Drosophila melanogaster: one gene and its partners. The protein of the gene in region 1 interacts with the protein of each later gene in a pairwise test. Each region holds a gene or a part of one and is shown on either strand. Other genes may lie near its edges.

Region 1 (5,701 bases):
GTTGTCCTTCACTCGCTTTGCAATTGAGTTTCTCATTTGTGTCCTTTTTACCCGGCTTGTACGAGCTCTGAATAATGGAGGTGCTGCCCGCTTGTGGAAAATGCTGTGATTTAAATATTTAAAAAGTGGCAGAAATAAAATGGAAGACAGCTTTTGTTTAAATGCCTTTTATGTACAATATTGAGCCAGCAGGCAATCGAGCAATAAATCAATGCAAAATAATGCATGTGCATATCGAACGTTTTTCTTGTTTTGGCTCAAGGTTGTATTGTTGTTTATCACAAAACGGTTTAAGCACCGCTTTGCGGCACCTTTAGTTAAAACGTTTTTCCTTATTCTACTGCATACTTAGTCGCTACATTCAAAAATGTATTGAAGGCAGTTTCGAATTAAGATTTAAGATATGGCGGGCTTAATTACAAATATAGCCACATTTGTTTGATTCTTTTGCTCAATGCTAGAAATTACTTTATTTGTATGCATGTAGTGCCATAAATCCGATAAATATTCAGTTGTATGTATTTAAACGACATTTCCTTGATATTAAAATGTTATATCTGCTACTGCTTTTTATTTGTGAAATCATTTCCAACCCGGTTTTTTGCTCCATGGCATTACAAAGTGTCCGCGGGGCGGTTTCGGCGCCGTGGCATCCGGTGGTCGGCGACCGGAAATGGCATTAATGCCTAAGCTCGACGCCCTTTGCGCCATTATAATTAAATGCGCTGGCGACTTCTGCACTCCGTCTGAAAAGTGCACCCTGCAAATAATTAGCACGGCTCGGAATCCTGTGAGTAATTAAGGTAAGTCAGCTGTTGCCTCCGTCTCGAGTGGGGCCAAAAAACGGAAAGAGCAAAAAGTGTCGTCCATTGTCAACGGAAATTAAAGTTTAATGGGACAACGTTTTTTTTTTTTAGAATTTCCAAGTGAGAAATAAGCTTGTCCGGCTGTTTTTACGCTGACCAAATGTTCGTAACATTTCAAGCTATTAAACTAGAATTTTACCAACTTGATGGCACACACAAGTGAGAAAACTGTTGTAAAAACATGGAAAATTCTGAGGGAGTCGGAGTTTTTCCAGCAGTGGCATGTGAAAAGCAATTACAGAAGTGATTTAGAAAAATGCAAATGTGAAAATATTTAGAGAACTATTTCCATTGGGAACTGGCATAGTTGAAAATTCGTTGTATTTTTTCTTTTTCAAGTGAGAGTGGAAATAATTTTAATAATTTTGTGTGCCAAACACCGGCGCAGATGCGGTTTGTGACACTTCCTTTAATAAACAACAGCGTTAAATAATTGAATTTCCACTCTCCATCGCTAAGCCGCTATTAATGAATTTTTAATTAGCGTGCTTAATTTAATTAGTTAATTGATAAGGGAATCTTTTTTATGTACTTTGCTTTGTTAATCTCTGTGATGTATGGAGCTTTAATGTGTCACTACAACATTTGTCCTTTATACATCGACAAACAAAATGCGTATTTATTTTGCAGTTAAATGGCTTGAATTCGTGATTCTTTCGTTCACTTTTGTTTGCTTATCTCACACAAAGCCCTTTATCTGGCCACCTTGTTTCGCTCTCTAGATTACGTTCATTTATGGGCCGTAAATAATTAGTTAATTGAACCGGAATTATCGGAAAACGTTAAAAGCACTGTCTAGTCAAAAATAAAACACATGGATTATGGGATTTCTTTCTTTACTTTGAACTTATATTAAATCATGATTTTTTGTTCTTAGCGCCTAATCAGTAAAGCCGCTTCCTTTTTAGTTAAGCTTTGCATTTGCTAGCAGAACACAGTTCGATTGCCACTGTTTGAAAACAGAACGTAGCTCGTAAGTGCGATAACGCTCTAAATTAGTCACGACACGTACATATTATTTCACCGCACTTTTATAGACTGCACCTCCAGCCAAATCATCACAGCGGCTATAGCCACATATATAGCCACGATCATGAAGATCTGCAGGGGACTGGCGGTGAAAACTTGGACCACCAGCATCACGGTTCCCAGAATAAACACCCCGGACAGGAAGCTGACCATCAGTATGGTGGACCAGTTGCGAAACCAGGCGTGCTTTTTATCCGGCGGCGGTACAAAAATCGGTTTCAGCGGGCTGTACTCCTTCTTATACTGAGTCTCGTATCCGCTGGTAAAGTCAACCTCATCGTGGTACGTCCCCGGACCCGAGGTTCCAGCCTTAGTCTCATCCGTGTCCATTTCAAAACGCGTTCTGCTCTCGACTAAAGAGCGATTCGCTGGTCTCCGGGCATTTTCAGCGGTTTTTTCCTTCCCTCTTTTTCATGATTACCAATCAGTTTGGGGTCTGGGTTATTATCGCCACGGCAGAAGGTGGTAATTGAGGCAACAACAAGGCAAACAGTGAACCGTCAAGAGCTGACAATCTTCTTTTTGTTGCTTGTGACTCAGATAAGATAACTATATAAGTCTGAGAAAACCCGTCAAACGAGAGCGGAGAAGAGTCTCAAAATGACAAGAAAATCACATTGAAGTAAGAGATTGCGAAGAGAGATCAATTTGTTCTACGTTATCAATTTATGCTTACTTACGAATCATCAAACCCTATCAACTTTGATAACAATCTATTAAAAGCGATAAATGTTTTACATTCATATATTAGGCATTTCAGTACTTATATACTTCTGGCACTCTGTTTCCGTCTTGAGAGATTCTCTTTTTTGTCAGTTTCCCCGCTTTCAGCTATCTGAAGCTCCTTCTTCAGTTCCGTCGCCGGCTTTAAAGGCTCCTTCTTGCCTTGCCTAACCAAGCGACATTGAGGGCTTTCTTCGCCGTGTTTCGTTCTTTTCGACAAACAGCAGTGCTTTGCGGATCATTTAGCTTGAACAACCCACAATGCCACCAATTTCAGCGTATTTTTTACCTTTAGAGATCATGTTTTTAATCAAATTTCTTTTTTCGACGGTAAAATGCTTGCCGCGACCCATGACTAGAGAACTTTTGGTCTTCGTTTGGAAAAAATTCAATTAAAACCTTTAATACAACTCCTTTTTCAAAATTTGTCGAAAAAAACCCAAAGCAATCACTCTATTATTCAGCAAATACGTGGTCAGTGCTATTTTTGTTACCGCCTCATTTCGCGCACTTTTGCAGCAAGTGCCCAAAAACAAAAAGAACCTTTACATTGAGAGACCATAAATTTCTTGCTCAGAGAGCCAACATATGGTACTTATTATTCATGCAATCTGACTTTAAAAAATATAAACATTTAATAATTATTTTTAGGAAATGAACTTTCCACCTCCAGTAGTGCTATTATTTTAACCGCAGCTGTATATATTTCCGTCTTGAGAGGTTCTCTTTAATGTTGTCTCTTAGTTTCAGTCAAATTCTCTGAAAGCTTTGGTTTTTACTTACAAATACCCTTTCTAGGGTTCTTATGGTGAGTTTACTCCTCTCAGAAATTTTCTTAAATAATTATTTTATTAGTTCATATTTTTTCTTACACTAATTTTAGTTATTTATCTAATGAATGTACTTGTGATCTCAGACTTACTTTACAGATACCTCTTATATAGTTTTACTTAGGACGGTAGTCCCTTAAAAATTTGTCAATATATTATCATTTTTAATGGTGCAAGCTGCATACGATCCGAAAGATTTTAGTACAGTGTGCCTCCGTTCTTGAATTCGATTCCCTTGAATATTTTTTCATGTTTGCAGATGAGTGCCTTCATCCAGTTTATACAGAGCCTTCAAGCTGAAAAGATCAGAGTGCCTCCAAAAAAATGGGGTATAATACTTATTTGAAAGTATTTCAAAAGCATTAAAGTGATAATTTGTTTATTTAAAGTGAAGAAAAAGATGTCTTATTGGATAGAGATAGTTGCACCCTCAACGGAGTGGACCAAGAACAAACCGATGCGATTCATAACGACTCTAATATGGAAATATTAACTGAGGAAGACTCAAGGCCATATACTTTTTTGCAAAACTTTAATTTCGTTGGCTTATGTGTTCTTTATAATTTTTGCATGCTTTTAATTGTTCTGTCCATATACATCTACAAACGATGGAATTAAAAAAGGGATTTTAAAATGATTTTGAGTACGTATCAAGCGCTAGTTAATTTGATTGCATTATGTATCCTGCTTAGCTGGGCTAACTTGTTTGCATTAGAAGAAAATGAAAGCTGCCTTCTGTCCTAAATGTACTTAAACTTCAGTCCACTTTATTGCCACCAAACAATTTAAGTTGTTGACAAAGTCATCAGCATGCATCAGTCAGCGGTTTTTAAAGAAAGTGCAGAGTCGGCGGAAAAAAATATGAGAAAACTCGCAGTTGCCTCTGTGGCATTTTTAGTTCCTTCAGCGCATCAACAAAACTTGTACATCTTGCTCGATGATCTACTCCGGATCTTGTTTACCGATTGTGCAACAATGTGTTCACTTTTAAATAATATCGAAAATCAGACTGTCTACTGTTTGTGTTTTTTTAATGGGAGATTGTTACTTTTATTTTTCGAAAGGTACACTAAATTCACTTTATCATTTCGATGCATTCGAATTAGGCAATTACTTACCCAGTGTGAACTTTTCATATCAACCCGGCTTATAGATAACCCCCTCGAGTTTGGCCCAGTTCTTCGCACCTTGGCCAGGGCTCATTATTCAAAGCTAAGACTCAGATTAAATGGAAAGCGATAGAATGACTGGCGGAGTGAAAAATGCTAAGAAAGAATCAAAAATTCATGAGGCGGTGCGCGCGAATTATAGCGACTTACTTGATGGTTTAAAGGCGCCCTTGCCGCGGCTATTCAGCTTTTTAGCTTGCCTGTTTTGCCCGCCAACATGCGTTTGTTGTTGCAAACTTTTTCCATCAAAAGTTTCGGTTTTCGATACGCCTGCTGCTGGCAGCTACCGATCCCCATTACCCATTCCTTATTCCCCGCTCCCATTTTCCATCCCCCCATCCATTCTGAAATTCCGCTCCAGCTTCAACTGGGAAAAGTGCCACTTCCGCTTTGCGTCAGTGCACACGGCTGCCGAGCACAAAAGTGTGACTGAAGTGGCTGAAACCAGCTCGATTTTCCCAGCCCATTTCCCGCCCACTTTGGTGGCGGCTGCCGAGGCTCAGGTGTTAATTAACTTGGGGGCCGGCACTAAATTTTAAAACTGCAACTTGCCCAAAATTAATGAGACTGACGTTTGTGCGAGTTACGAGCGAGCTGGAATTATAATTTCGGCATGGCGGACAAACTGCAGAGCAGGCTAACTTTCAAGTGGTCGGCAAGGATGCCCGGAGATCATGAATATTCATCAGGACGAGACGCAGCGTCCAATGTTAAGCCGTAAGCTATTGGTTGTTTCTGTCTGTTATACACGTGCTTAATAACATCTAAGCCTCTGTAAGCTATATTGAATCAGGTAGTTAATACGGATAGTAATATTTATAGAACAATGAACATTTGAAATCCACCCCAGCACCCCGTACTCGCAAAGTAAAGGGATATAGTAGATTCGTTCGCTGCACAGTTTGTAACAGGTAAGTGTCTTATGCATATTCATCAGGATCTTTTCCGTGTCTATCTGTTCGGTTCATCTGTCCGTTTTAGCGCTTTAATTTTGGGAACTGTAAAAGTACGAAAGTCCAGGTAGGCAGGCTTTTCAGAAGATTGCCACGCCCACTCTAACAACCATAATTGTCACGCCCACACA
Region 2 (7,136 bases), 7.8 Mb from region 1:
GACTCCTCGGCCAGTTTTTTGAACTCCTGGTAGGCACTGGTGTTTGAGATCAAGTACTCCAAGTAGGAGTAGGCGAAGGCTCGGAAGAAACAATTGCCATCGGGGCGGGTGCGGCGAATGAACTTGTACTTTTTGGACAGATCCTGGATCTTGGCGGTGAAGATCTCGTCGCCACTGTATTCCGCATACAAGCAGGTGAGTGGCAACTGCTCGCTGACCAAGGGAGTTGTGTCGCTGATCTGCAATTATTGAAATTCGGCATTATTTCTCGGTTCATTGTCGCTATTGTGTGTAAGTGTTTCTGCAGACTCACCTCTTTTTCAATATCCCGTTTCTGCTGAATTATTAGTTCGTCGCGATTGCCATCATTATGGGTAAACGGCTCCATGTTTCTCTGAATACTGAACAACTGCGATCGGCGCTTCCTTTCAATTTACTTTACTTTGTATTCATTTGATGAACTAAAAAGAATTCCTGTTCATCATATGTATGTGTAGGCGCATCAAATGTCACACACACAGGTCTAGAGGCGAAACTCACGGACACACTGATGCTTTCGATTTTGTCGCACAGCTATCGTTATCGGGCTTCAATTCCAGTTGTTCCTTGGCTCGAGAATAAAAATAAATAAATATTTGAAATCGCATTTTACAAACACGCTAAACCATTAAAACGGTTTTTAATAACAAATATACGTACATAATTTGTGTATGTTTATTATCTATAAATTTATAAAATAAAATAAAACTTTGAACTGGTTTTCCGCTGTGTAATACGTAAGCTGGGAACTTCAATTGGAACCAGCTTTCAAAGCTTCTCGTCAGAAGATCATCGGCTGAGACTTAAGATTGAATAAGAAATCAATTCAGTTGAGTGTTTTCTTCATTGCTCAGCGAACGTTGCGCTACTTTGATAAATTAAGTAAGTCTTACTAATAGAGTACACTTTATACTAAATAAAATTGGACTCAAATTCAATTTATTGAAAATGTGTAGTTCAGTTATGTGGATATCTGATAGAGTTTAATCTTTTTGGTGGTTTCTATGTCTTGTAACATCTACAATACATTTTTCATCCATATATGTATGTACATGTGTATATACATATTTTAATCAATCAAAAAGATCTTAAAGTTCAATGAATAAAGTGTACAAAATATCACCGCCTCACGTACTTTTATGAGCACAAATCAGCGGCAATGGGAATACATTTATATATGTTAATGAAGAAGAATTGTATAATGCTAAGTTTACTCGAAACTAAAACCAGTTTTTGCCCTATTTTATTTGCAAGGAACATATTGTTAGCAAAAATGGTGAACCTTTGTGTGTAAATGGCAATTAATTAGTGTGTTATAACTTATTATTAACTCTTGCGAAAAATGGAGGGATTGCGCTTACACATAAGAAACTATTTTTGTGTTTTAAAGTAATTATACATGCTTTGTTTTTATTGACAGCGAAAATTGACCCACCGCAATACATTAGCATTTCTTATCGCCAAAAGTCATATTTAAACAAAAAAGCAATCAGGATTGATAATGAGGCGATCTAAAAGAAACAATACGTACATATGTATATATTTGCTCGGAATTTTAGTATTCAAAAAAGAAAGCAAAGCCTCACTGATAAGACAATACATTCTAGAGTTAATTAGGTTAATTGTTCGCCGCATAAACATAAACGTATTCGTATCCGCGTCTCCCTTCCATTAAAATGTGTCACTCTGTTTTGGGGGAATCACATTCACCTTTTATCCGGTTTAAGTGCGATATTCCAGCAATAACAATCATTATTATATTACCAATACTCGAGCTTTACTCACTTTGCTTACCTTCATCTTCATCTCTTTCCTCGAATAAGTGAGCTTTCTGACCTTAATTATGTAAATATGTAAAGAGCATGATTTAATTTTGCTTTCCAGGAATATGATATTACTAAATTGCCTAGTAATATGCCTGTGCATATTTTCCTGTGGTGCCCAGGACTCTTCCTTGGACAAATTGATATCGGACATCTTTAAAACGGACGAAACACCCAAACCATCATCCCCTCCCCCGCCAGTGGTGAACCCCAAGGATTCGTCCGGTAGCACGGGATCCGAAAACGGAGGATCGAGTTCAACGCAGTACCAGTCCTGTGGCGATCAAAAGGAGTGTGTTCCTCGCTGGTTGTGCGCCAATGATACGATTAACACCAGTGGCGATGGTATCATTGACATTCGACTTGGTACGGACGCCGAATGCAAGAACTATTTGGATCTTTGCTGTGATCTGCCCAACAAGGTAACACATACATAAATACCAATAAGCTTTGATTACTTAAATTAAACTATAATTTTATTTGTTAAGAGAAAAGATCCGATTTTCGAGTTTAAGCCTGATCATCCCGAGGGCTGCGGTTACCAAAATCCCAACGGCGTTGGCTTTAAGATCACTGGAGCTGTCAACCAGGAGGCCGAATTCGGCGAATTCCCCTGGATGCTGGCCATTCTCCGGGAAGAAGGCAACCTTAACCTGTACGAATGTGGAGGAGCATTGATAGCTCCCAATGTGGTTCTGACCGCGGCGCATTGCGTTCACAACAAACAGCCCAGTAGCATTGTTGGTAAGTGTACATGCCATCTATGCCATCTATGAGATCTAATTATGAACTGGCATTTAGTGAGAGCTGGCGAATGGGATACGCAAACGCAGACTGAGATCAGAAGGCACGAAGACCGATATGTCAAGGAAATAATCTACCATGAGCAGTTCAACAAGGGATCGCTCTATAACGATGTGGCTGTCATGCTGTTGGAAAGTCCATTCACCCTCCAGGAGAACATTCAGACCGTTTGCCTGCCCAATGTGGGTGATAAATTCGATTTCGATCGCTGCTATGCCACCGGCTGGGGCAAGAACAAGTTCGGCAAGGATGGGGAATATCAGGTTATCCTGAAGAAGGTCGACATGCCCGTGGTGCCCGAGCAGCAGTGCGAGACGAATCTGCGCGAAACTCGACTCGGCAGGCATTTCATTCTGCACGACAGCTTCATTTGCGCCGGCGGTGAGAAGGACAAGGACACCTGCAAGGGTGATGGTGGCTCCCCACTGGTGTGTCCAATTGCTGGCCAGAAGAACCGCTTCAAGTCCGCCGGCATTGTTGCCTGGGGCATCGGATGCGGCGAGGTGAACATTCCCGGAGTGTACGCCAGCGTGGCCAAGCTTCGTCCGTGGATCGACGCCAAGTTGAAGATTTGGAGTATTGACCCCAGGCACTATACACCCTAAGAGCAAAATTGTCACTTGAATTTGTGGGTTTTAATCTTCATGCTTCACAATGCTCTCACTTAATATATGCCCAATATGTTAATACTCAAAATTAAAAAAAAAAAAAATCTTTTTATTTTAAGCTGAAAAAATATTTTCGGAACAGTGGAAAAGGAATAGGCTAACAAAAATTGAATTCAGTTGGCAGCAATTTTGAGCTTATCGATGTCAATTTCAGTCGGAGCACCTGGTCACACTGTCGTCGGTGTGCATGGGGAATAAGAACAAGAAAGATTAGATTCGTGCAGGCCAACGTATTTGCTCTAAATAGAATATCTGCAGAAACATGGACAACTTCGGACTGGGCGGATCGGATCTAAGCAAGGGGCAGATATTCCAGGTACTGGTTCGCCTGTCTGTGGCCTCGCTGATCACATATTATTCGGTGAAATGGATGATGAACCAGATGGATCCGACCAGTAAAAACAAGAAAAAGGCCAAAGTTCTGGCTGAGGAGCAGCTTAAGAGGTTTATATTAGACTCATATAGCATATATTGTACATGTGTAAACCTTTTCCATGCAGGCTAGCCGAGCAGGAGGGCTTCAAGCTAAGAGGGCAAGAGTTTAGCGACTACGAGCTTATGATTGCGTCACATCTTGTTGTTCCCGCCGACATAACAGTCAGTTGGGCCGATATCGCCGGTCTGGATTCAGTCATTCAGGAGCTCCGGGAATCGGTGGTGCTGCCAATCCAGCACAAGGATCTCTTCAAGCATTCGAAGCTGTGGCAGGCGCCCAAAGGCGTCCTGCTCCATGGACCACCGGGCTGTGGAAAGACGCTGATAGCGAAGGCGACGGCAAAAGAGGCGGGAATGCGCTTTATCAACTTGGACGTCGCCATTCTTACCGACAAGTGGTACGGGGAATCCCAGAAATTGACTTCTGCTGTCTTCTCGCTTGCATCGCGAATCGAGCCATGCATTATTTTTATTGACGAAATAGACTCATTTTTGCGATCTCGAAACATGAACGACCACGAGGCTACCGCCATGATGAAGACCCAGTTTATGATGCTGTGGGATGGCCTCAGCACGAACGCCAACTCGACGGTGATTGTGATGGGTGCCACGAACAGGCCGCAGGATTTAGACAAGGCCATTGTGCGCCGCATGCCAGCCCAATTCCACATTGGTCTGCCCTCGGAGACCCAACGAAAAGACATCCTGAAGCTGATCCTCCAATCGGAGGAAGTAAGTCAGGATGTCGACTTGAATCGCTTGTCCAAGCTCACAAATGGCTTCTCGGGCTCAGACCTGCGGGAAATGTGCCGGAATGCTTCAGTTTACCGAATGAGGCAGCTCATCACGTCCAGAGATCCGTCAGCTACAGCGCTTGATCGCAACAACGTCCGCATCACCATGGACGATTTGCTGGGCTCGCACTTAAAAATTAAGGAATCAAAGATGCACACGAGCAGCCTATTCTTAGAGAATAGAATCGAATTAGATTAAGCTGACCATTGTTTATTCAAGCTCCCGATATATCCAACTTAAATTTGTATAATAAACTTTTTATTTGCCTTTCGAGAGGAGCTCCAATGTTATGTGTTAATTAACCCTGTTCTCTGCATTCCAAAATGGGTATCCGGAAAACGTAGTTTTGGTAGTCTTGAAAACAGCAACGGATACTGCAGGAAATTACACAATCCATAGCATTTCCGTAAAGCGGAGCTCAATGCACTTTAATTATTACATTTACGGGCTTCTGTGAAATATTCACCTAGAGAAATTTCAAACATTTATAAAGATATTGCACTTGTACACTTCTTCAAACACACACACAACTTGCGTCACGCGACCGTGGGCTTTCAATCGTAAAAAAAAATATAAGTAAACTTGTGCAGTTTTATTCTCTTTTAAAAAGGTCGTTTATTTCTGACGGCATTTCAAAGCTACACATTTGTATATCTAATTAAAAATGAATAAAAACATGCATACATTTTAAATAATCAAACCAAAACAAATTAGTTCTTGATGTTTTTGTATAATTTCTTAATTTAAGAAAAATATAGAGTGTACAAACTTCAAGCGAAGAAATTTGCTTCTGCACATTTTAATTATGTTTCGTGCTCATATAAATACTTTCTTCGATTGGCTCAAATCATTTCTGTTGAAGGCGTTGATTAAACCACTTCAAATCCAAGCGAGACTATATACTTAACAAAAAATGAACCCAATGGTAAGCTATATTTCCAATTTGTCTTTTTGATAGGAGATATTTTGTATGTACATACTTCATTTACGCGCATCCTTTCTATTTCAGTTAACTTTGATTCCTGGATACCTATTCATAACCTTAATAATTATTGGAAGTACTGCACACAGTAATTCCTATGCTGTGAATAAAACCAATAGTGTCGAAAGTGCCGAGTGGAGCTATCCTGAATACGGAAAAGGATCTACTCACAATACCGGAAGAAGATCGGAAAAGCTGGATCTGCAACATTATAATCGGGAAACCGAACGCAATGTGACTTTGAAACGCGGTGTGAAAAACTATCAAAAGCAAGGCGATAAAATGACGAGGAATAAACTGAAATATAAGCCATCTGGTGCTCGAAGAAAAAATGTGAGTCCCAATTATGCGGATGAGAGTACGGAAAGTAGGCATTATCATACATTCGAAGAGATCCACGAGCATATCGATGAGGACGATGGTCAATACCAGGCATCCGAACAGGTCGGAACACAAGCGATTCTGCACGAACATGTCGAGCACTCGAGTAAGAAGGATGCGAAGCGGATGAAGGTGAAAATCAAGCATCATCATCACCACCATCATCACAACCACATAAAGGAGCTGATCAAAACAGTACCACAACCGTATCCCGTGGAAAAGGTCGTCCATGTGCCCATTGAGAAAATTGTCGAGAAGATCGTACATGTGCCCAAGCTGGTGAATGTTACAGTTGAGAAAATAGTGCACGTGCCTATCGAAAAGATAGTGGAAAAGGTGATTCACATCCCAAAGCCAGTCCAAGTGCCCAAACCATATGTGGTCGAAAAGATAATTGAGAAAATAGTCCACGTACCGAAACCGTATCCAGTGCTCCGGACTGTTCCGTATCCGGTCGAAATAAAGGTGCCAGTTCATCTCGAGAAGAAGGTACCAGTGCCCTATAAGGTTGAGGTAGAACGAAAGGTTCCCGTTTACATTCGTTCCAGCGAGCCATATAAGTTCGAGTCATCATCACTCTACGAAAGTTATCCACGCGGCGAGGAGTTCAAATTTAACATGGAAATGGATCATCCACCGCCCAGAGAACACGAACCATCCAGCCTACCATCCTCAAACTACTACAACAGGATATACAAATCTAGGGAATTGGATCATCCTCCGAGGATGGAGGACTATCAAAGCTCCGTGCCCACACAGTTAAAGCACGATTACGCAACGAAAACTAATCTCGATCAGCAGTTTAAAAACGAGTACGTGACGAAAAGTAGTATTGATCCTCAATTTAAGCACGATTACGTGACGAAAAGTAGTATTGATCCTCAATTTAAGCACGATTACGTGACGAAAAGTAGTATTGATCCTCAATTTAAGCACGATTACGTAACAAAAAGTAGTTTTGATTCGCAGTATAACCAGGAATACGTACCCAAAACTAGCATTGAATCGACTTCTCCTGGACGGGATGGGGTTTCCCTGAAACTCGTCGGTCCCCCTACTCCTTTCAATATCACGGGAAAGGATTTGGAGACCGCCAACTCTGCTCCAGACTTTGTCAATAGCTCCAACGTAGACCTAAGTCCACAGGAATCGGCTAATGCCTATCGCGGTATGCCATTCTCCATACCATTTCAGTTTGTACAACTCCAA
Region 3 (9,550 bases), on another chromosome or scaffold:
CTTGTGAAATCATATATTAGATCAAGATCCTTTGGTATATATTGTTATCCAGGTGTTTCGTAAGGGATTGGACAACATGGAAATGTTTAGTTCCCGTCACGGATTGCCCAGTGCCTGGATCATCTTCGCCCTTCCCAGATACTTTCCCAAGGAGCAGTCCTGTCAGTGGGTCACCGAATTCTCCGATCTCTCTACCAACACAGCTATTTCGTTGGACCTGCGGGTATTACTCGCCTTTCCCGAGGCAGATTGGTCCTACCTTTTGAAGATTCTACTGATGAGGGATGCCTATCTCACTGGCATTATAATGCGCCACCTGATGCAGTACTTACCCTCATCGGAAAACTTCAAAAACGTGGCAAAGATTTCGTTTACAAGCGCTGAGGGTGCCCCTCAAAAGTGCGAGGCATTTTTGTGTCGTGGAGAGTGCTTTAATGTCACAGATTCTATAGCTGGAGATATTGGTAAGATCTAGAATTTTATTGTCTAGAATTTGTAACTTAAATGTTACTTATTACTTTCATACAGATCCAGTTGGTCAGTCCAACTACCAGATCGTCCTATCTCTCACCTATTTGGTGGTGGCTGTGGGCAAGGCAGTAGATATCAAGTCCTGCCTTATCAAAACACTGGAGGAACACGCGATTGCAGGATGGAGTGATTGCCTGGACAAGCGACAGGTGTGGAACCAGAAGCGAACACCCTGGTTAGAGGCCATCATGCACTTCATGTACCCTGTTCTCGATTGTGTGGTGGATATGTTGGTGAATGCCGTGGAGAACGGAGCCAGTATGTACCAGGCCATGTCCTTGGCCCTAACGTGTGTCTCTGAGATCTGGGATTGCCTGCCCGAGGGGCTGTACAAAATTGCCTCCTTGCTGCAGGACATCATTCCAGTATCCACCAGGCCGTTGGGAGATTCAGTGCTGTTGCAGGTGGTTTTTGCTGCACTCTATACAGAATTGATCAAAACAGCAGAGATGTATGAGCAGGGTATGTAAACTTTTCATACACCTTCCTTGATTTTTTTTATTTACATCCTATTATGATTAGCTAAAGATCTGGACAAGGCTGCCATCTGTTACTCCATATCGGAGGCCATCTGCTCCATTGACGAGGATGACAAGCATACGGATCAGATCGAGCTGTTTCTTAAACAGGCCAAAGAGAGTATCAACTTGGACACGGACTTTGGTGGAACTGCAGGGTCCAATAACCGAGGGGCTGGGGGAATGAGTGCCGTGAGTACCATCAAAATGGACGACTTGGCCCTGACCAATGCGGAGTCCGATCGCCTGAGCCACAGTCCACCCAACAACTATGCCATGGAACTGGATGTGGGAATCGCTGATTACATAGCCGAAGTCCTGGTCAGCGATGTTTTGACCACAAATATCGGAAAACAGGCCCTGAAAGTGGTATACAACTATTTGAAGTTCAACAAGGACTGGCTGCTCGAGCAACTGGGAACTGGCGACAATGACCCCAGTCCTTTCCAAGGCATACAGGGTCAGAACATCAAGGAGGCCAAGACCTCGGTGCTGAGGTCCATGTTCTTCATTGGGAACACCCCCTTTGACCAGCTGCTCACAGGCTCTTTGAAAATCGACTACGTCAGTTGGTTGCAGATGCCGCTGTCCTTGAATCCGGAACGGACCTGTCTGCACTTAAACAGACGCTGCGATTTCCAGGAGGATGCCAAGCTGTCACTGCCCGAGGTGGCCATGGTGGCCGGGATTACCAAGATAATGAAGCGGCGCAAGGAGTTTCCCAAGTGAGCGGCGCGGAAAGCGTCATTAAGACGGAATGCACTTAAAAAAATGAATAGTGATGCAGACGCTATGCAAATGAGAAAAATTAGAACAGCTATCAAAGTGAGGAGGACACCAAATTGGATCAATAAATTATAAAAAGCCTTTTTTAAATGGCTACAAAGTAATTAACTCTAACCATATCTAAAAGACATTAACTAACAAACAAACATTACAATAAATGTAAAATTTTGTTTTTGCAAATTACAACTTTTTTCATTGTGTACAGTGTAAGACCAATTGCAAGCATAGAAGACCTGGACAAACGACTCCAACTGCAGGAGGCGGTATCAAGGACGACCTTCAGAAGTATTTCGCTAGAATCCTCGAGCTGTTCCTTAAGGAAATTAACTTTTCAGAGTGTGGGGCATCTGTGAATTATGTCGTAGATGGCGGCGACAGTGGAGACTTTCCTTGGGGCGACGGCTGCCACTTTGGATGTCATTAACGCCGCATAATGCAAACAAGCCTGACGACAGACACCTTAGCAAATGCACAGGACAATAAGCGGAGGAGCTAAAAAAATATTTACTCGTGCTTCCCCTCTCCTGAATTTGGCCCCCATTTAATTTATGAGGATGAGGGCGGTGTAGCAACCGAAAATGTTTTTGTCCACATTCTGCGTACTCGTCCGCCTCTTGGCAATTGCTCAGCTTTGCTCCTGGTTGTCTTTTGAGCTTCTTTACACCTCCCGCCGCTCCGCTCACCATTCAGCCAGTTATGAAAATTACTGAAACGTGGCCAAAGACGGGTGCGGGGATCCACAGGACCTGCAGGACGAGGGCACGCACACACAGAGCCGCTTGAGCAGTGGCAACAACATGAGGCACTGGCTTCACACACAGGACAACGTGACAAATAAAATCAAGCTGGCTTTGAGCAGTGGGCCGAGAATCCTGTTTTAGGCTTAAAACTTCAATATTTGTAATAGTTAAAGATTATCTTTACACCTGGTAGAATATTTATCAAGTGCATATAAGTAAGATTTTCGTTGTGTAAAATCGTAGGTAAATTTCATACTTCCCTCTTCTTTTACATTTGGAAAAATCGTAATCAAGTAAGCATTCGGGTGGGAATATATTTAAATCACACACAATATTAAGCTCTCGCCCATGGTGCCTTCTTGTAAAAAACCGCAGGACTATAAAGACTGACCCAATGCGCTACGCTACACAATAAATCGCGAGAGGAAACACTTTTTACAAAAAAAAAGAGATAAAACATACAAACAGTTCTAATTAAAATACTGAAGACAAAAAGAAAATTAATTATTTATTTGAGTTCCTTAATTATATTAACAATGTAATTCAAAAATTGTATTCCTACTACAATACTAAAAAAAAACCAAGTTAAATAACTTCTGATTGAAATTAAAGCATTATTCTAGTTAAAAATCAGCCCTATATTCTTGCTTTCAATTAATATATTTCAAGAGCATAGTTTTAAAGAATTCTCATACTGCCAACGCCAAATAAGTTTTCAAATACAAATGATAGTGGATGTCAAAAACAGCTAACCAATTAAAAACATCTTTAAAACAACATGGATAAATTTTGCGGTCTCCATAAATCTCAGCATTAAATCGCAAAAACGCATTTAAAAAGAAATAAACACTACGCGTTCGTTCTCGTAACAAATCAACTTAGCAGTTTCGAATGCAGCGCCGCCCCATTGGCTGGTATTTGGCTACAAAGTCAGTGGCAGTAGGAAAAGCAATGGGAAAAGCAGCCTGAGCGGCGACTCTGGATCCTGACTCCGAAAATAGAAACGAATCCTGGCCGGTCCTTTCATTCAGTTTCATTCTGCTGGCGCCGCTGGAAGCGTGCGGACGTTCGTTGTTTAGAGCTCGGCCATAAAGTCGTGTGGCAAAGTGGCACTTGACAAAAATAAAAAAAGTTACAAACCTTCAACAACAATAAGAAAAATATTTAATAAAAAAAATATATATTATAGAGGGCACACAACGTGCGGGGGCAAAGTGCAAATGGTAACGGTAATTTGCAGACATTAGTTGCCACACACACACACACACACACACACAAGCAAACGGTGCGGTGATTAAAGGCAATGGAAGGAGAGGTGCGAAAAATGTCACATTACGAATACGCAGTGTGTGCCCGAGTTAAATGGTGAAATTTAAAAGCTGTGCGAGCTGGAATTGAAAATATTTATCGCAAAGTTGTTTGGCCACTTAGTATGCCAGGCACGTAGTGCATTTTTGTGATGTGGATACGGCTCTTTGATTGTTTTATTAGCGATTCCCTTGGACAGGACCTAAAACGTCAGTTTCGGATGAGAGTATTTAAAGTTATGGAGGATTAGAAAGTAGTACATTGAAAATTTGAATTTAACCAAAAACTAAAATTGTTCTAAAGTGAAATTAAAAACGAATAAATATATTAAATAAATTGGAAATTAAGTAAGTGGAGCTTACACATTAATCAAAAATTTAAATGCTATGGCTTCGACTTTTGTCATCAGTAATAACGAAGGAGAAGAAAAACTTGAGCTCCAATAAATAAGATATTAAGAATAAAGCCGCACTTTTGGCGATTCATAAAACAAATATAGATAGAAATTCATAAAGTAAATATCTATATATATATATATATAACCAAGTCAGCCATGAGCCAGATGCAACTGCAATCGCAGCGCGTTCGCCGCGCCCGTCATCATCGCCGCAATCAGTCCGCAGAGCCGTGCGAGTGCCTTCGTCCTGTGATAAGGGTTTTTGGTCTGCTGACTTCATTCGGTAAGCTCAAGTGCGCGGAAATCCGAGCCAGTGGAATAAGACTTGTCGGTGCCGGTGCCCAGGTGACCCCCGTTTCGAGATAATGCCAATCTCGATACGAGGCTATGATGCATGTGCATGTGCATGCATTTATGTATGAATGTGCAATGCTTTTCTGGCCCTTATTTGGAATGTTTACCCTTGACAAATCGTAGGAAATACTTGTGCATGGGAACCATTGCCTCGGGATATGTTGAGTGCTGTGGCTTATTATATTTCTTGGCACTGAATGGGATTCGCAAGACGAAGACGATGCTGAATGGGGACACGCTCTTATTGGCTGCTTTTATTGTTCCTTTCAATTCATATAATATTACTCTTTGAGCAATATTTTCATTGTACACAAAGGTTTTGCATTTGTTTGAGAAGACTGGCAAAATAAATGTACATAAAAGGAAATGGTTTTCCATATTCACAGAGCACATATAGCACAGAATATGTGCTCTAATGAACAGGATATTTGACCTAATGTAATTTGGTAAAATAAATAAATGCCATCCAATACTACTGAAATTCCAGTTTAGCTTAACAATTAAATAGAACACAGAGAGTAAATTGGTAGAAGATTAATTTCCCTTTTTTTGCGTCATTTAATTACAATTCAATTATGCTTTTTTTGTACAACCCAGCTTTGTGTTACATTTTTTCCGTTTAAATTGAGGCAATAATTTTAGATTGACAGCCTGAAATTTAATGGCATTTCGTTTGTCAATTTACGAAGTCAAATTTAATTTATTAAACAGGCAAGGTAAAGTGAAGCAAAAACTTAATAAATAATAATATTACCTTTCTGAAATGAATTCAGTTTGGTTGCACAACGTAACTTTTTCACCCTGTATCCGCATTCTAATCTACGAAAATGCAATCACATTTTTTCATCCCAATTTTTCTGCCATCTGGTGAAGTTATCAAAGTTGGCTTAAACGCTTATCGTGGCCAATCATAACGATTTTCCTCCACCATCTGACATTTTCCTAATGCGCTTAAGATAGTGCACCGCCGTTTTTTTATACAGAATTTGATAAATCGCCCAGCTGCAGGCAGGCCAACAAAAACTTCGGGTCAAGTTCAAACTAATTTCTTTGCAAATTGTTTTGGGGTCCATCATGGGTGCAGTGGCACGCAGGAAAACAAAGTATAAAATCTCTGTAGTTCATAAGCTCCGCATTATAGGGATCGGGTAAGAGGGATGGGGTTTTCCAAGGAAACTCTCTGGCAGAGCCATTAACAAGGCATTGGCCTCTATGCAGCTTGCAGCTTGCAGCTCACGACTGGCATCCTGTGCCAAGAGCAGAGTTTTCCCAGCCCGATTTTCCCCTTATCAGCAACTTTTCCATACGGTCGACAATGAGCTGTGTTGTTAGCCTTTAGGCGCCAGCCATTCGCCAAGTTTTCCTCTTGCCCGGCATCTATTTTTCCCCCACCGCTTTCAATTATCCAGATAATTTTTGCATGTTTTTTCGATTTCCGCTTTTTCAATTTTTATCTCCGTTGACAGCATTTAATGTAATTGGTTTGGTTTCGGTTCTGCAGTTGTGCTTAAATATGGGGCATACATATACATATATCTAACTGGCTAATCTGATTGGTTTTTCGCGACCCGGCATAATAAAAACAACTTAATTAGATTGTATTTTTATGGACCACTGGGCGTGGTGGCTCCATAACCACATCTAACCATATCTTATACACTCAAAGTGGATTTGGCTAAGACAAAATGTGAAGCGGAACCATAATGTGGTTAGAATATGAATGCCCTGCGGAGGGCTGTTCGACAAAAATATAGAAACCTTTTAAGTTATAAAATTTAAGTTCGTCATGAATATTGAAGTTTCTTCCAAGCTATTTATTATTAATTATCATTATGTTATTTCGTAATGTGTAGGACATTGCCTTCTTAAAATACTCTATTGCAAATGATGTAAGCTTCAGTAAAATTGCGATAAACTTCTTGAGCTCACCTCGTTTCCATTCATTGGTTTTGTATTACATTTTATGGCCAAAGCATGGTAAACAAAAAAGGCCCAGCTCAATAAATATGCTTATAAATATATTTGCCTAGACACACTCACATTATTTTATAGGCTCGTTCAAGGATAACACTCCTCGTTTCAACCCGCCAAAAAGGACCCCCCGCACCGAACCTTTCTTTAGCCATTTTTCATTTCAGTTATCTGCGGCGTTGGCGTTGATGTCTACATGCATGGCTATCGGGCCGGTCTTTATATAGTGTAAGTCACGGATCTAAATATCCCCCATAACTATACTAATTTCTGGTTAGTTTTTCAGCCGTGCTGGTAATGTTTATCGAGATCAAGTGGCTTGTGACTATCTTCCTGCAACTTCAGTGCGCAGAGTAAGAAAACTATTCAAGATTACCAAATAACATGTTCATAAATTATAGTTATTCGTATATATATTATTTGATAATTAGCAGTTATTATTTATGAAATATAGAAATTCTAGTTACCAAGCCTAGTAGTTGTAAAACTAATTAAACCCTAATTATACTATAATATGATATACTTTACTATTATATACAATACTCTATATCAAGTGCCTTTGCTCAGATTTTTCTCTGCAAATTTTTCTCTGTTCACATATTTGTGAATTCAATTTGTTTCAGGGATAATTACCAGCGAAGGTCCTGCAGCTGCTTGGCCTGCTGGCGACTTTCAGCGATTTGTGGCGGTTGGCGACCCACTCCTGTTTATGCGGTCATCGGCATCTGCCTGATCCTGTATCCCCACAATCTGTGGCTGAGTTATGTGGCCGGGATGTTCCTGATACTCCTCGGACTCCTCAGACTGTGCACGCTGCTCCGATTCAGCGCCTCGAAGGAGGAGGGTCTCCTGCCGCAGTGCGACTTTGAAAAGTGATGCCAGCCAACGAATGTCTTTGTTATTTGTTTCTAATGTCTGTTTGTTCTGCGATGATAGGGTGTCGAGCTTTGTGGATACCATGGAGGATGATTTCGCGGAGATTGGTGCCACGCAAGCGGGATTGGATGAGGAAGCGGAGGAGGAGGGCGACGACCACACCGCCCTAGACGACGATGTTTGCTAATAGTTTAAGCCAGCTTTTCTGCCTAATGTAATGTGAGATTTTAAACGACTTAACAAATGTCTAATAATATACAGTTTGTAAAGAGGTTTCGATTTAAACGCTGAGTGCGTGGTATATTTTTATAGGTAATCGATAAACCCACACTTTGTATGATTTTTGGTGTCATTTATAAACGAAGCCACTCAAAAGTCAAAAAGGACATTCTTCAAAAGAATTTTGAAAGTTCCTTTTAAGTATTGGGTATCTGCTTTTTACCTACAGAAATAATTATCAAAGCTATTTCGTTTTAAATAATGTTATTTTAATTTCGTCTTTTATTGTTTTTTGTGCTAAACGGATTTCTGCGTTCACTAAAGGCCAAAATGAAGGGCTGGTCGTCGAATTCTTCGGTTTTTCTCAGACCAAAAGAACGCTCATTGCCGTAATCATACTCGTCCTCATCATAGTAGTTATAGTAGTGCCTCTGGTGGCCTTTAGGGCCTCCATGTCCATGTGATGGAGGAGGAGGAGGTGGAGGATACGGATACGGTGGATATGAACCTCCGGGATATCCAGGAGGACCCTGAGGACCAGGTTGGCCAGGGATTCCAGGCATCCCGGGGTGGCCCTTATCTCCACGCGGCCCCTTCTCGCCGGGATCACCCTTGGATCCTTTGGGGCCGGGATAGCCCTTCTGCCCCGGCTGTCCCGGTGGACCAGGTGGACCTGGAGGACCGGGCGGACAACCGCATGGCTGTGGCTGAGGATACGGATACGAATAGCTTGGCGGATAGTGTGGCGGATGATAATGTTGATGATCGTGATCCTCCTCTATGATCACTTCCTGTGGCGGGGCTGGAGCGGGACTTCCAGTTTGGAGGGTGATCAGCCGGGGCACTGAGGCATCATCCTTGGCGAAAACTCCCCCAAGAACAGACAGTAGTGCCACCAGCAGAATAGTCCAGTTCGCAGAGAGAACTTCCAGATTCGACGACATGCTGTGAACTAACGAAAATCAGATCGCAGTCACTTCTTTTATGTGGATAAATGCGTTTGAAAAATGGCAACAGAGGAGAATCATTCAAACTCCCGTTAAGATAGCTCATTTGAGATCTATATGTCTTGTCTTACGATCGCATTATATTTGTATCGTATGCTAATTTCTCTTGTTTAATAAACCAAGCCATTTATTTATAAAGTATCTGATTTGCATAATATTCAATGAATGAGTTGAGTTTTTGGGCTGATGAAAGAACTTTCACACCAAATGGATGTCGGACTTTGTGATCGAGCCATGAAAAGTGAATTCTCGTATTCTAGGATAGATCAATTAACAGGTATATGTATATCATTTCTGCGCGTAAAAATAACATAAACTTTTACACAAATTTCATATGGAACCAGAGCAATGACTGGTGGTGACCGAGATGATGATTTTTACATTTAAACGGAAACATTAACCATTTTGAATAACTAATGTGTAATTTGCTAACACCTGAGATACCACCTGTCCGTCCCTGTGAAGCACAAAAGAAAACACTTTCGAGACATGCTAAGAATGTCTGTTCGCAATTTTATTTAACTGTGGCTTCTTTATTATTCTTTTGTAAGTGTAAAGTGGAACTCATGATGACAAGAGCCCCGCCCACATAAACCTCAACAAATTTCTGGTTTTTGGGCAGATCTCATAACACTTTTTGCATACTCACGCTTCAGTCTAAGTCATTTGGATTTGTGGACATTAGTTATGTTCGAGAAGTTTCTGTTTTTGTTAACATATGTATGTAAATAGTTGTAACTTTTAAAGTTCGTTTTATTTGTTGTTTTGCTTTTGTTTTACACATGTTTGCTATGCAATAAACATATTAAATAGTTTCTTTAATTATAAATTTACTTTGTTTAA
Region 4 (7,565 bases), on another chromosome or scaffold:
TGGCGGGGGGAAAAACATTCCCGAATTACGAAATTCATTCTACGAATTTGGTCGAGTAGTGAACTCTGTACGAAGCATCCCAGTGACCCTCAATCAGCTCCTGGATTTCCTCTCACGCAACGAGAGTGGAAGTTTTTTTTGCAAGGACTTTACGTAACGAGACAGGCGTGTGGGTTCGGGTGCACGAGGGGGAGGCTCGCCATTGATGAATGAAGAATAACGGCACGTTTGGCTCTCCCGCGCCAGTCACTACGCAAACACCTTACGTCGCTCGTAAACGAGAGCGTGACCGAGCAGATCGTGCCGCCCGTCGCCCCTCCATCTTCGTTTCTGTTGTTGCTGCCCGGTGAGTGGTGTGTTAGTTAGTTACTTGCTTTCGTAGAGCGTTCCGGACGGGGTAGAGGGGTCCAGACGGCGGGAAAGGGGCCTGGGTTCAGCTTGGGATTAGCTAGTCTAACTTAATGTAATCTAGTTTGTACTGTGGTCACGCACGGCGTCCGCATCTCACGCCCTCCTCCGTTCGCTGGGCTTCCGTATCTCGTATCTGACTGAGTGAGGCATCCAGACGGCCCCAAAACGCCAGAACGCCAATACGAAATGTTTTGCACACTCAGCTGTTCGAGATTAGCGAGCGAAGCTTTCGCGCAGCTTTTTACATACGCTTTTTTAAAGACCCATTCAAGCAGGTGCTATATGGAAATCGTTGGGAATAATAGTGCAAATAGACATCGATTTGCATTCGAGCTCGGCAACAACCTTATGAGAATGCGGATTTTTTGATAAGAACACTATTACTGATATCCTGGTTTTCTGCCAGTTTTTTGTTCACCACAACGTAAATAACAGCCCCATCATTAAGTGCCATACCTCGTTGCACTCGCAATAAAAATTGCAATCGAATGGCGTTCCAGGCTGGAAATGAAAATTTTTTTACATTTTTCGCAAAATTTCTTGATGTTATCCCTTATCGAAATTGCAAAATTTTGGAAAAAAATAAATTTTTCAAAATCAGCAGGAAAGTGATATGGGTCGTTAGTTGGGATCGTAAGCTGCACAAAACTGTAAGTTTTTTGGCTGTGTGGTTTTTTTTTGCAAAGTTATGGTGTATCACTCCCGTAATGTACATGGGTTTTCTATAGGCCTTTTTTTATAAAAAAAATTATAGGTTTTATCTGTACAGCTGCTAAAATATTGGAAAGAGTGGATTGTCCGTTGTTAGAAATCAAAGTCATATGTTTTTCTTTGTTTTATTCCCGTGTAAAATACCAAATGCGTTAGGGTTTTTTACTGACCGCCGCCACAGCCACTCCATTCCAAACCAAAAATGCGAGGGAGCTGGCCCAGGCTTGGGTTCCCGGCGCTGCTCCTGCTCCTCCATCTGCTGACCGGCTCGGATGCCGCCGTCCGGAATGGGACTGCAAAGCGGGAAATTGGCGATTCCCGGGGAAGCAGCGGCACCTGCGTCAAAGGGTTCCTGCAGGAGATCCTGCCACTGCCAGCGACTTGTCCGCCTGAGGTGCTCGGGATGAGGGGCGCCGTGTATATCCTTTACGACGTAAACATCTCCGAGGGCTTCAACCTGCGCCGAGACGTCTATATTCGCATGGCGGTGTTCGTGCGCCGGCTGCAGAGGAGAAGGCGCTTTCGCCATGTGCGCCTTGTGCTGCCGCCGTGGCCCCGCCTCTACCACTGGCACTCGCAGGGCCTGCAGCAATCTGGACTGCCCTGGAGCCACTTCTTCGACTTGGCCAGTCTGCGTCGCTACGCGCCCGTTCTGGACTACGAGGAATTCCTGGCCGAACAGCGCTTATTCGGCAATCCTGGCGCACCGCTGGTCCATGTAGGGCACGCTTTCCGGTTGCAGCACTACGAGGTCATGCTAGAACAGGGCATATTTCGGGACAAGTTCGAGCGCGTCACGGACAAGCCGTGCAGCGAGGGATCCCTGTCGGGAGGACCATTGCTGCAGCAGGCGGAGCTGCGCGTGGGGCGTTTCCACTGCGTTCGGTTCCAGGGCAGCGCCGGACTGCTGGAGAAGTTGCTTCGCGAGGCGATCGACGAGGACACGGCGGGACCGGAGGACGTCGACGACATGCGCACGTACGCTTTGCTCAGCGCCGAAACGGTGCTTCACGACCACTGGGGCGACGAGCACTTTTGGCAGGCCCGGCGTTCCATGCGTTTCGCCCGTCGGCTCGAACAGGTGGCCGCCGACTTCCGACGGCAGGCCCTGGACACCACAGATGCTTCGGCCGGTGTCCAACGGCCCGCCATGTGGGAGCTGGAGCGGCCGAAGCGCAACGCCAAGGGCGGCGATTACCTCTGCGCCCACCTAAGGCGGGGCGACTTTGTTCGCTCGCGGGATGCGACCACTCCCACCCTGAAGGCGGCTGCCCAGCAGGTCAAGCAGCTGCTGCGCGGGTTTAACATGACCACAGTGTTCCTGGCCACTGACGCCACGCCATACGAGCTGATGGAACTAAAGGAGCTCTTCTACCGCTTCCGCCTCGTGCACTTCGCGCCGGAGTCGAATGTCCAACGAAGGGAGCTGAAGGATGGGGGCGTGGCGGTGGTGGACCAGCTGGTCTGCGCCTACGCCCGCTACTTTGTGGGCACCTACGAGAGCACCTTCACGTACCGCATCTACGAGGAGCGCGAGATCCTCGGCTTTACCCAGGCCAGCACCTTTAACACGTTCTGCAAGGCCTTAGGCGGCAGCTGCTCGCGCAACGCCGTGTGGCCCATTGTGTGGGCGGATGGCGATAGCGACAGCGAGGAAGATTCCGACCCGTACTGATCCATCTGTAGCTCCCACCTGACATCTCAAGACCTAGTTTTAAGTCCAAAGCCAACGTAAGAGAGCAAACGGGATTCCGAACCACCTGCGATTGTGTACCAAAAATAAATCTAAAGCCAACAGAAAAGTGCTAGCAGAAAAGTCAATTATAATGTGTAATGTTCAGAGGGTAAATGTTTAAATTTACCCGCTCCTTTAGCGTTGCCACATTCCAAAAAATGCAAATTGAAATTTAAACTCGACCTGTAAATATCGATTGACGACAGGAATCGAATCTCGCCATATCGATTTCACGATAGACCTCGATAGCATTTCGGGCAAACATTGCACGTGTTTTTGACAATCAAAATAATTATTTCTTCTGTGGATTTGCGAATATAGTGACTGCGCCATGGGCAAAAAGAACAAGGGCGGCGCCCCCAACCTGGGCCGCCAGTTGATCAAGGATCGTTTCGGACACACTCAGCGCCGCAAGGTGGACAACGACACGATGGTAAGAGCACTCGTAGAAAATACATACATATGCATTCGATCTTACACTGTGAACACGGTTTCGATCCTTACCAGCTGCACACCACCGAGCTGCAGGATGGCTACGACTGGGGCCGCCTCAACCTGTCCTCTGTCACTGAGGAGTCGTCGTTCCAGGCCTTCCTGCGCACGGCTGAGCTGGCCGGCACTGAGTTCCAGGCCGAGAAGCTGAACATCACGTTCGTGAACCCCAAGCAGCGCGTTGGACTGCTGAGCAAGACGCAGGAGCAGCGCATGCACCAGAAGCACGACGAGCACCGTGACCAGCTCAAGATCCCGCGGCGGCCCAAGTGGACCAAGGAGACGAGCGCCGAGGAGCTAGTGCGAGCCGAGAACGAGGCATTTCTCGACTGGCGCCGCGACCTGGCGCTGCTGCAGGAGGACGAGGAGATCTTGATGACTCCGTATGAGAAGAACCTGGAGTTCTGGCGGCAGCTGTGGCGCGTAGTGGAGCGATCTGACGTCGTTGTGCAGATCGTAGACGCCCGTAATCCGCTGCTGTTCCGCAGCGCCGACCTTGAGCGCTACGTAAAGGAGGTGGAACCTAGCAAGATGAACATGATCCTGGTAAACAAGTCGGACCTGCTCACTGAGGAACAGCGTCGCCACTGGGCGGAGTACTTTGACAGCGAGGGTATTCGCACGGCCTTCTACTCGGCCACGCTGGTAGAGGAGGAGTTGAAGCGGGAGGCGGAGGAGTGCCTGGATTCCTTTCCCGAGGTGCAACAGCTGCGCAGAGCAGTTGAGGAGATAAAACAGTCGTTGGATAGCGTGGAGGACGCTTTGAACGTTATCGAGCAGAAATATAAGACGATTCCCGAGACTCAAAACGATGAGCTGCCACGATTGCCCGGGGACAAGAACAGTCCCCGACTGCTGTCCCGCCTGGAGCTCATTGAGTTCCTGCGAAACATCTACACCGGTCCCCGGCACACAGAGCAGCACGTGACCGTCGGAATGGTCGGCTACCCAAACGTTGGCAAAAGTAGCACCATCAACTCGCTGATGACAGTGAAGAAGGTGTCCGTTTCGGCCACGCCGGGCAAAACTAAACGCTTCCAGACGCTTTTCCTGGACAAGGACATACTGCTCTGCGACTGTCCCGGTCTGGTGATGCCGAGTTTTGTGTTAACCAAGGCGGACATGTTGCTCAACGGCATCCTGCCCATTGACCAAATGCGCGATCACGTTCCCGCCGTCAACTTGCTGTGCGAGCGCATTCCGCGCCACGTCCTTGAAGACAAATACGGTATTGTGATAGCCAAGCCGCTGGAAGGCGAGGACATGGAAAGGCCACCGCATTCGGAGGAGCTGCTGCTGGCTTATGGATGTAAGTGCCAATGCTTTGCGCACGCATTTCAGTATTTCACAACGCACTCTTTCTCGCTCTTTTCCAGACAATCGCGGTTTTATGACCTCCAACGGGCAGCCGGATCAGGCGCGTTCCGCCAGGTATGTGCTTAAAGACTACGTCAATGGCAGACTGCTCTACGCCATGAGCCCGCCCTCTGTACCGCAGACCGAGTATCACACCTTTCCCGAACGCCAGCGCAGGGTCATCGAGGAATCACAGCTGCCCGGCCAACAGCAGCGAGCCATGCGGGTGAGATTTGCCCTTTGCACTAGACGTGATTCCTTTGCTAACTGATCGCGTTTTCCGCAGATCAACAAAAGCACGTCCAAGGAGCTAGACAACCAATTCTTCTCCGACAAGCCTACGCACGCCCACGTCAAAGGACGCACTAACTTCCCTAACGTGCGCCTGGCCAACGACGGGTCCCTAGTAGCCGGCAATGATCCGGCGGCCAAGCCCTGGCGTCATGTGAAGAAGGAGAGGCGCGAGAAGCTGCGCAAAAAGTTCTCGCACCTGGACGAGCACTGATTGTAGCCCATTAGTTATTTATTCCGAAGGGTGTGTCTAAGAGGCACTTGTACATTTTAAGCATTAAACCTACGTATATACATATATATTAAAGTCCCCCCGACTTCGAGAGTTTGAAGGCCCACAATCTCAGACTGAAAGAGTTATATTGCGCAACTAGCAGATTGAGAGAAACATAGATAAGCCATCTGATGGCCCAGCCTGGACACAACGATTAACACAAAGATAGCATATATTTAGCATACACACCAATGAAAGCAAACTGTTGTTGGAATGGCGCCCCCAATTGAGTTTAAGAGATGCGTGAATGGAAGGTAATTTCGAGATGCGGAGGAGCGCAGTTGCGCGGAGAAAAGAAGCCTGCACTTTGACCGCGTGATAAGCGCAGATGCTTACGGCTCTTGTCTTCTATCACTTGGCCACAGTCTCTATCACGCAGTCTTCAGCGATGGCCACAAACGAGAGCTGCAAGCACTTCAGGGAGCTGGTCGTCGAACAGCGTTCTGGGCTGCTCCACATACGCTTCCAGCGGCGCTGGCAACGCCGAACCCTCTACGAGCTGATGCGCGCCCTGGACCTGGCGAGTGCAGACGCCGCCGTTAAGGTGGTCGTGCTCTCGGGCGAGTTTTCTGCAGCATGTGGCGGTGAGATGGAACCGTTGGCTCTCAAACAGGGTCTGGAGAATAGGAGTAGGCGTACCGCTTCCCACGAAGAAGCTGTGGGCAGTGGTGATGCCGAGGAGCAGTACATCCATGAGAAGGCGGCCAATTTTGTGATGCGCTCGCTGGCCAAGAAGCTGCTTGTGCACCGCAAACTCCTAGTGGCTTTTGTGGAGAGGCAGTGCGTCGGTCTGGGCCTGAGCGTGTGCAGCCTGTGCGATCTGGTCTTCGCAACGGAGTTATCTGCCTTTGTGCCCGCTTTCTCGCACCTGGATCCCTGCACCAAGGTGGGTCCCGGCTGGACTGTGCCACACGTCCACTGGCTGCTTCGTCTGGGCGATCAAGCGAGCTCCAGCATTGCCCTCCAGTGTGGCCTTGTGGCCAGTGTGGTGCGAGAGCCGCAGGAGTTTTGGCACCGCGTCGACCAATACTTGCGCTTGCCTTCCGCCTCCCTGTTGGCGACAAAGCGCCTCCTGTTTCGTCCCTGGCAGGACTCCCTCTTGGCCGAATTGCGCGAGGAGGGCACTCCGCTGGCTGCGCAGCGACGCCGCTTGGCCAGATCCTCGCTGTAGGGTTGCGCTTCCAGATCCGTTGAATCGATTAAGTAAATAAATAGCGATTATAAAATAATGACATGTCCCCATGGTATTTCTTTTCATTCCTTTCATTGGAGCTCCATGACTTAACTTAAACTTTAAATCAAAATCTGCAACGGAAACGGGTATGCATATACAGATGGGCAGCACTGTTTTCGATATCTTTCGACTGGAAGGCACAGCTGATTGCCGGCGCGTGTTGTTTTTTTTTTGTTGCTCGCCGCAAAACTGCGAAAGTAAAATCTCGTAATTTTGGGGAAGATTAATTAACTTGGGCAAAATGCAGCGAGCACGACTGTTGCGGAACGTGTGGCTCTGCAGGCAGCGCTTGGGCCATCTGCCAGGACGCAGCGCTTCCTCCGCCAGCCTGGCATTCCGTTATGCAACGAAGCCTGCGGCGCCAGCGGTGCCGTTCTCGCTGCTCCAGATGCGATCCCTGGGAACGGGTGGCGTCCTCAGTGCGGTGGAGCGAAGAAGCCGGCGCCCCGCCTCCTCCTCTGAAAAACCGAAAGCCAGCGTGGCGGATGCGTGGACACAGCTGGAGGCGTACTACCGGCAGCACGATCTGATCAACTTTGAGCACTGCCAGCGCCTGCTGGAGCTCCTGCAGGAGTCTGCGTCGCCGCTAGGAGTCGGCATCGAAGAGGTGCACTTCCTTCTAGGGTCCTGTGTGCCCGAACTGCTTCCTGCTCAGAGCAGCCAGGAGCGTCTTCAGCTCTTCAAGGGACTCTGGGCTCAACTGATCAAGTTGGGCCAGCCCACGCTGGCACATTACCACACGAAGCTCCAGGTGCTGCGCCAGAACCGTTTGCCTCTGACTGACTATCGCTCGTTGCTGGCGGAGATTGCCGTCTACCATGGAGCAGCCGATTCCACCTTGTACGGCGCTCTTTTGGACGTGGCCGGCGCCGCCGGAAACATGCGCATGGCCACCGAGATTTTGTCGGAGATGCGCGAGCGCAGCCTCGCCCTCACGGAGCACAACTTTCACGCCCTGCTTTTGGGCCACGCCCGCAGCGGTGATCTGCCCGGGGCGGAGTCCGTCCTAGCCAGCATGCGGGCCGCAGGAATACAGCAAGGCAGCAGCACTCAGGCCATTT

The links.
Region 2: the proteins of CG15152 (region 1) and nmd interact in a two-hybrid assay, tested with the Drosophila melanogaster proteins (one large-scale study listed by BioGRID).
Region 3: the proteins of CG15152 (region 1) and CG14086 interact in a two-hybrid assay, tested with the Drosophila melanogaster proteins (one large-scale study listed by BioGRID).
Region 4: the proteins of CG15152 (region 1) and Ns3 interact in a two-hybrid assay, tested with the Drosophila melanogaster proteins (one large-scale study listed by BioGRID).

Annotation. Positions count from the first base shown.
Region 1 is NT_033779.5:18,111,207-18,116,907, reverse strand, and holds CG15152 (uncharacterized protein), read right to left. Parts: upstream 2,362-5,701; 5' UTR 2,226-2,361; coding exon 1,887-2,225; 3' UTR 1,688-1,886; downstream 1-1,687. Other genes in the region: CG44476 (uncharacterized protein), read left to right, coding at 3,773-3,777, 3,838-4,066.
Region 2 is NT_033779.5:10,300,297-10,307,432, reverse strand, and holds nmd (no mitochondrial derivative), read left to right. Parts: upstream 1-3,485; 5' UTR 3,486-3,596; coding exon 3,597-3,778; intron 3,779-3,834; coding exon 3,835-4,762; 3' UTR 4,763-5,260; downstream 5,261-7,136. Other genes in the region: CG4968 (uncharacterized protein), read right to left, coding at 1-239, 314-388; CG5390 (uncharacterized protein), read left to right, coding at 1,928-2,284, 2,351-2,606, 2,664-3,271; CG13138 (uncharacterized protein), read left to right, coding at 5,478-5,489, 5,574-7,136.
Region 3 is NT_037436.4:19,272,157-19,281,706, forward strand, and holds CG14086 (uncharacterized protein), read left to right. Parts: upstream 1-3,634; 5' UTR 3,635-4,436; coding exon 4,437-4,563; intron 4,564-6,772; coding exon 6,773-6,833; intron 6,834-6,883; coding exon 6,884-6,958; intron 6,959-7,228; coding exon 7,229-7,477; intron 7,478-7,541; coding exon 7,542-7,668; 3' UTR 7,669-7,763; downstream 7,764-9,550. Other genes in the region: CG14085 (uncharacterized protein), read left to right, coding at 53-464, 529-993, 1,054-1,778; CG14089 (uncharacterized protein), read right to left, coding at 7,970-8,644.
Region 4 is NC_004354.4:1,459,739-1,467,303, reverse strand, and holds Ns3 (nucleostemin 3), read left to right. Parts: upstream 1-3,083; 5' UTR 3,084-3,188; coding exon 3,189-3,290; intron 3,291-3,364; coding exon 3,365-4,658; intron 4,659-4,725; coding exon 4,726-4,931; intron 4,932-4,991; coding exon 4,992-5,210; 3' UTR 5,211-5,460; downstream 5,461-7,565. Other genes in the region: O-fut2 (O-fucosyltransferase 2), read left to right, coding at 1,325-2,797; CG14787 (uncharacterized protein), read left to right, coding at 5,659-6,441; Lrpprc2 (Leucine-rich pentatricopeptide repeat containing 2), read left to right, coding at 6,746-7,565. UniProt on the Drosophila melanogaster protein: GTPase required for the nuclear export of the 60S ribosomal subunit. Probably acts by mediating the release of Nmd3 from the 60S ribosomal subunit after export into the cytoplasm.